Saccharomyces cerevisiae S288C: one gene and its partner. The protein of the gene in region 1 purifies or fractionates together with the protein of each later gene. This does not show direct contact. Each region holds a gene or a part of one and is shown in the gene's direction. Other genes may lie near its edges. The genes, in order: PHO5 and RPI1.

Region 1 (3,762 bases):
AGGTAATATAAGCAGCAGATGTATTTCTACCAACATTTGGACCCGACAGTACTAGATCAAACGGTTCATTAGACAATAGGTGCAGCCCGATGTTTGCGCACGATGCTGGAGTTCCATCGATTAATATCCACTCAATTGTATCTTTCGGAATTTCAGCATTGAGAACATAAGGTAATTTAGAGTTTTCTGACCTAATTTGTGGCTGGATAAATGGGCCCCAAAAAGTATTGTCTTCAGCGTCAACTTTAGAATATATGAATTGAGCTGTCAAATTTTTACCAGCAAGATGAGCCTTACCCACCCATGATTTCTGGACATGAGGTACACAAACCGTGATTTTCCATTCAGGATAATTTCTTTTAATGTGCTGAATAAAAGGTCTAATGTATGGTGAAAACTGATCACTTAAGGGACCATCATCGTTAGTTATTAAAACCCGCATCTTAAAAGAAATATTTATTGTTTCCGAATTTTTAATGTCAGAGATCAAGTCAGAGCGGCTGCCTTTACCGTAATTTTCAATTGCTAAATACAATGTTCCTTGGTTATCCCATCGCCAATAATTTTTATTTTTACCACTGTTGAAGAAGCGAAAGAAAAAAAAAGGGAAAATCAAAACATTCCCTGTGCACTAATAGAAGAAAACAAGAGACTCCGTCCCTCTTTAGTGAGAAAATTGACCAGAGATGGTTTTTGTCCATCTTTTCGCAAAAAATTAGTTCTATTTTTTACACATCGGACTGATAAGTTACTACTGCACATTGGCATTAGCTAGGAGGGCATCCAAGTAATAATTGCGAGAAACGTGACCCAACTTTGTTGTAGGTCCGCTCCTTCTAATAATCGCTTGTATCTCTACATATGTTCTATTTACTGACCGAAAGTAGCTCGCTACAATAATAATGTTGACCTGATGTCAGTCCCCACGCTAATAGCGGCGTGTCGCACGCTCTCTTTACAGGACGCCGGAGACCGGCATTACAAGGATCCGAAAGTTGTATTCAACAAGAATGCGCAAATATGTCAACGTATTTGGAAGTCATCTTATGTGCGCTGCTTTAATGTTTTCTCATGTAAGCGGACGTCGTCTATAAACTTCAAACGAAGGTAAAAGGTTCATAGCGCTTTTTCTTTGTCTGCACAAAGAAATATATATTAAATTAGCACGTTTTCGCATAGAACGCAACTGCACAATGCCAAAAAAAGTAAAAGTGATTAAAAGAGTTAATTGAATAGGCAATCTCTAAATGAATCGATACAACCTTGGCACTCACACGTGGGACTAGCACAGACTAAATTTATGATTCTGGTCCCTGTTTTCGAAGAGATCGCACATGCCAAATTATCAAATTGGTCACCTTACTTGGCAAGGCATATACCCATTTGGGATAAGGGTAAACATCTTTGAATTGTCGAAATGAAACGTATATAAGCGCTGATGTTTTGCTAAGTCGAGGTTAGTATGGCTTCATCTCTCATGAGAATAAGAACAACAACAAATAGAGCAAGCAAATTCGAGATTACCAATGTTTAAATCTGTTGTTTATTCAATTTTAGCCGCTTCTTTGGCCAATGCAGGTACCATTCCCTTAGGCAAACTAGCCGATGTCGACAAGATTGGTACCCAAAAAGATATCTTCCCATTTTTGGGTGGTGCCGGACCATACTACTCTTTCCCTGGCGACTATGGTATTTCTCGTGATTTGCCTGAAGGTTGTGAAATGAAGCAACTGCAAATGGTTGGTAGACATGGTGAAAGATACCCTACTGTCAGTCTGGCTAAGACTATCAAGAGTACATGGTATAAGTTGAGCAATTACACTCGTCAATTCAACGGCTCATTGTCATTCTTGAACGATGATTACGAGTTTTTCATCCGTGATGACGATGATTTGGAAATGGAAACCACTTTTGCCAACTCGGACGATGTTTTGAACCCATACACTGGTGAAATGAACGCCAAGAGACATGCTCGTGACTTCTTGGCTCAATACGGTTACATGGTCGAAAACCAAACCAGTTTCGCCGTTTTTACCTCTAATTCTAAGAGATGTCATGACACTGCTCAATATTTCATTGATGGTTTAGGTGACCAATTCAACATCACCTTGCAGACTGTCAGTGAAGCTGAATCCGCTGGTGCCAACACTTTGAGTGCTTGTAACTCATGTCCTGCTTGGGACTACGATGCCAATGATGACATTGTAAATGAATACGACACAACCTACTTGGATGACATTGCCAAGAGATTGAACAAGGAAAACAAGGGTTTGAACTTGACCTCAACTGACGCTAGTACTTTATTCTCGTGGTGTGCATTTGAAGTGAACGCTAAAGGTTACAGTGATGTCTGTGATATTTTCACCAAGGATGAATTAGTCCATTACTCCTACTACCAAGACTTGCACACTTATTACCATGAGGGTCCAGGTTACGACATTATCAAGTCTGTCGGTTCCAACTTGTTCAATGCCTCAGTCAAATTATTAAAGCAAAGTGAGATTCAAGACCAAAAGGTTTGGTTGAGTTTTACCCACGATACCGATATCCTAAACTTTTTGACCACCGCTGGTATAATTGACGACAAAAACAACTTAACTGCCGAATACGTTCCATTCATGGGCAACACTTTCCACAGATCCTGGTACGTTCCTCAAGGTGCTCGTGTCTACACCGAAAAATTCCAATGTTCTAACGACACCTACGTCAGATACGTCATTAACGATGCTGTTGTTCCAATTGAAACCTGTTCCACTGGTCCAGGGTTCTCTTGTGAAATCAATGACTTCTACGACTATGCTGAAAAGAGAGTAGCCGGTACTGACTTCCTAAAGGTCTGTAACGTCAGCAGCGTCAGTAACTCTACTGAATTGACCTTCTACTGGGACTGGAACACTACTCATTACAACGCCAGTCTATTGAGACAATAGTTTTGTATAACTAAATAATATTGGAAACTAAATACGAATACCCAAATTTTTTATCTAAATTTTGCCGAAAGATTAAAATCTGCAGAGATATCCGAAACAGGTAAATGGATGTTTCAATCCCTGTAGTCAGTCAGGAACCCATATTATATTACAGTATTAGTCGCCGCTTAGGCACGCCTTTAATTAGCAAAATCAAACCTTAAGTGCATATGCCGTATAAGGGAAACTCAAAGAACTGGCATCGCAAAAATGAAAAAAAGGAAGAGTGAAAAAAAAAAAATTCAAAAGAAATTTACTAAATAATACCAGTTTGGGAAATAGTAAACAGCTTTGAGTAGTCCTATGCAACATATATAAGTGCTTAAATTTGCTGGATGGAAGTCAATTATGCCTTGATTATCATAAAAAAAATACTACAGTAAAGAAAGGGCCATTCCAAATTACCTATGTTTAAGTCTGTTGTTTATTCGGTTCTAGCCGCTGCTTTAGTTAATGCAGGTACAATTCCCCTCGGAGAGTTAGCCGATGTTGCCAAAATTGGCACTCAGGAAGACATATTCCCATTCCTGGGTGGTGCCGGGCCATACTTCTCTTTCCCTGGCGACTATGGTATTTCTCGTGACTTGCCTGAAGGTTGTGAAATGAAACAATTGCAAATGCTTGCCAGACATGGTGAAAGATACCCAACTTACAGTAAAGGTGCTACCATCATGAAAACATGGTATAAGTTGAGCAATTACACACGTCAATTCAACGGCTCATTGTCATTCTTGAACGATGATTACGAGTTTTTCATCCGTGATGACGATGATTTGGAAATGGAAACCACTTT
Region 2 (3,876 bases), on another chromosome or scaffold:
TACTGTCAACGAAAATATCATGGATATAGTTTTCAAAAACAGTAGGCTCATAAACTTCGGGAAAATAACCTCTGGTGAAAACATTCAGCAACGAAGTTTTACCACAGGCACCGTCGCCCAAAATAACGATCTTTCTTTCGATCGGTTTATTTGACGTTGAAGCTGACCCACATAGAAATGACATGTTTGTTTCCCTTTACCTTGTGCTACTATGGATTTTAATGAAAAACTTGTTGTTATAAAGTAAAAAATGCTGACCAGAGCTAGAGATGAGAACGATAAAAAAACGAAAATCAATGGTTGCCTATTTTCCAGTAAATTCAAAATAATACATGTTTTTTCTTTCTTTTTCTTTTCTTTTTACTGTTTACCAATTTTCAGGAATGTTAAGAAAGATAAAAGAAATATACAAGATGCCATTAACGGGTAATGGCACCAGTATATCTATGACGGGTAATCCTGTTAGTGGATGTCAAAAAACGTTCTTGGGGTTTCCCGGACGCCTTACACTATTTTGTAAAAAAGCTCATCCACACCCCTCTCCTTGTATTTCTTATCTATAATCTACTATTTCTCGCGTAGGTGCGGTAACGCTGTTCCAAGAAAAAAGTTGGCCGACGACTGGTTCTGGGCCGGGCTCGACCGGAAGTGGTAAGTGGCCTCAATTTGAGTTTCGCTTACTCCTTCCATTCTTACAACACACCCGAAGTTTAATTCACGTGACCAGATAAGGGATTTATTATATGTTTATTGTAAAAAAAATAAGGTAGATAGACATATTACATTTCCTCGTGCTTATCGAAGTATTTTTCTTAGACATCTCGCATGACCACAATGCTGGCTCGAAGGCATTTACTCTTTCCTTGGGGAGATGTGCTTACTGTGATTGATTATGTATTCTTGCGTGCATCTGCAAATCTGCGTTGACTAATTTCGGAGTCTTTTAAACACAGAAGCATTACAGGCCCCTCTCCTCACTTGTGCCCAGTATGCAAGTGTGCTTTCCTGTGAAAACTCCTTCATTTTCTTTTCTTACGCATATGCATAGTCGGATTCCAGCTATTTCCATAGTAAAGAAGAAGAAAAAGTAAATACTTCCTTTTCACATGGGCCGGCCGATGCAGGTCCTCAGGTACTTCGTTTATAAGCTTATATAAGCATGCAAAATTAAACGAGGTGGCTGCTTTAAGAGCGTGCAGAATATAGTCACTTACTACCCTAAGTTAGGACTTTGTCTTAGGAACAAACACATCAAAAATGTGCAGAACAACAAGCCCGCGGGGGTTTTTGCGGTTGACTACTCCTGCTTCATGTCTTTTCTCCCCTGCCATTTGTGCTTCTGGATTTGCTTGAAGGTAACCTTAAAGGATCTGCGCATCTTTCTCTTACGAAAACAAGTATAAGATTTTGCCTGGGCAAACTTAAATTACGGAAAAAGGAGTCGTCGAGAATGTTGCCCTTCCACATTTGGATTAGCTGATAAACGTAAATTGGGGGGGGGGGGGGTCGGTTAAATTTTGTCGACGGGAATGGAATTTTCTCTGGTATTTGCCGCAGCTTGCAGATAGTAGAGCCGATCTTGTGAGGTTAACACCGCATATGGCATTCTGTTGCAAAGTTAAAATGCGTCACCCACCCTAGCGCCTAGGGTCGAGTACTGTTTTAAACTTTTTCAAGACCGGGCGTACCATTGTGCTTGTTCCTTACTTCGTTATTTTCTTGCATATTATATTGGTTGAGATTATTTCTATGGACTATATATAAATAAGGGACGGTCGTATTGTTCTTTTATGTCTGCATCCTAAAGAGTATTTTTTTTTATAGTCTTGTTTTCTTGTTCAAATTAAAGAAAGATCTAATAGTTTTCGTAATACTGAAACTACTCTTTTTTTTTCCTTACAATCTGACTTTTTTTGTATTTCCTTTTTTTCCGTTTGGTTATCCAGACTACAGTTCATGGTAGTATATCATATTATCGTATTCGTTTAACTATTTCTCAGTCCTTTTTTTTAAGTCTTTTTTTTTTTTTCTCATCATTTTATTACTGATATTTATAAAATGTACTTGGAATATCTTCAACCGAAGTTGAACCTAATGGATGAGTCTAGCACTATAAGCAAAAATTTCCCTGATTATTCACCAAATTTAAACACACCCATTACTTCAAATTTTAATGAAGAAACGGGTTCGGACTGCTCTTTAGTTACTCCAAGAATAATTTCCAGTTCAAATTCGAATTCGAACTCCAATTCTAATTCGAACTCCAACTCCAACTCAGGCTCTATTGACGAAAATGAGCTAAACAACTCTAATTCATCCTCCTCGTCTGCAAGACAGATAAGGAAAAAATGGAAAGAGCCTGAGGATATAGCATTCATTACTACAATAATGAATAATTCTCAATTACTAACATTCGTAGAATATTTCAAGCCTATGAAGAATTTTTGGAAAAAAATTTCAAAAATCCTATTCCAACAATATGGGTACGAGAGAAACTCTCGTCAATGTCATGATAGATTTAAAGTCTTATACACAAAGTCTTTGAAAGTGCATCCATCAAAGAAATCCAAGCAAAAGAAAAAAAAATCAAAACAAGAGGCAGGCTCAAACTTAAATTTTGATCCGTCAAAATTATCTAGAATGCAGTATTTGCTAGTGCAGTTACAAAACACTTTTAGTTTTGTAAACGGAAACATTATACTCAAGTCGCAAAAAACATTGAAGCCGAACAAGAATGGTACTAATGATAATATTAATAACCATTATTATAATAATTGTAACAATAACAATAATAATATTAACAATAGTAACAATAGCAACAATAATAATAGCAATAATATTAATAGGAATAGTAATCATAGTACTAATGTTTTTAGTACACCAGAGCATATTCAGTCAAGTATCAACCTCGATAAATTAGAATCTTTGCCAGCTTTGGATACCAAAGGAGAACCATCCTTCATTAGCCCGGCTCAATTTTCCCTTTTGTCATCAGCACCGGCAGACAATCTAATCCTGCAAACTCCACCATCGCCATTTTTCCAGCAAACAATGCCTATACAGCTACCGCGCGATGCACAACAAGAACAAATTTCCCCAGTTTTCTCTACAGATGTCATATACATGTGGCAAACAATGTTTAACACTATTGAAAATTTAAAGGAACAAGTAAACTGCTTAAAAAATGAAGTTAAGCAATTAAACCATAAATTTTACCAACAAAATAAACCGTTGCATAATATGTCAACTTCAGACTCAGAAAATTTTATGCAACAACATTAAAGTATGTATCGGGAAGTCTCCACCATAAATTTTCTACCCCTTTAATTCTAGCACATTCCCTGTTTCCCTTCACCCTCATCAATAATTTTCAATTCGTCGTTTCACCTTTTAATTAATTTTAAATGCTCATTTCATTTCTGTTTTAAATTTTATGTCTGTTTTGTATGCTATTTCATTTTTCATTTACTTCTCCAGGGAAACAAGACAATATTACTTATATATACATTTATATTTATGCCCATTCAACATCCGATTTTTTTCTATAAAATAAGTGAAAAAAATAATGAAACTTAACGAATCTGTCACCAAGAAATGTCCTTATTGTTCATTTTGGATTTTCTCAAGTTTTATCTTTGGTTGAAGCAGTTTATGTTTTGTTTACTTGGACAGCCAAAAAGAGAAAAAGAAGGTGAAAATTTTTTATGTGATCTCTTCAAAGAAATTTTAGATACTTTAAATGATGCCGTACGTCTTTGTTATAAAATATAGATATCTGTTTCTGGAAAGTGGGGGCAGAGACTTTTTAGTTTTACGACTTTTTTTCTTCACGTCGAAACTTTTTCTGAATTTTTACCAACTGACCTTCCAGCCGAC

Evidence for each region.
Region 2: the proteins of PHO5 (region 1) and RPI1 purify together in Saccharomyces cerevisiae (affinity purification with mass spectrometry, with the first as the bait; one large-scale study listed by BioGRID). This does not show direct contact.

Annotation. Positions count from the first base shown.
Region 1 is NC_001134.8:428,716-432,477, reverse strand, and holds PHO5 (acid phosphatase PHO5), read left to right. Parts: upstream 1-1,526; coding exon 1,527-2,930; downstream 2,931-3,762. Other genes in the region: PBY1 (putative tubulin tyrosine ligase), read right to left, coding at 1-442; acid phosphatase PHO3, read left to right, coding at 3,377-3,762. UniProt on the Saccharomyces cerevisiae protein: Partially mediates extracellular nucleotide derived phosphate hydrolysis along with NPP1 and NPP2.
Region 2 is NC_001141.2:136,060-139,935, reverse strand, and holds RPI1 (Rpi1p), read left to right. Parts: upstream 1-2,058; coding exon 2,059-3,282; downstream 3,283-3,876. Other genes in the region: Rho family GTPase RHO3, read right to left, coding at 1-184; QDR1 (multidrug transporter), read right to left, coding at 3,828-3,876. UniProt on the Saccharomyces cerevisiae protein: Negative regulator of the Ras-cyclic AMP pathway. Negatively regulate the activity of normal but not mutationally activated Ras proteins. The down-regulatory effect of RPI1 requires the presence of one of the two Ras GTPase activators, IRA1 and IRA2.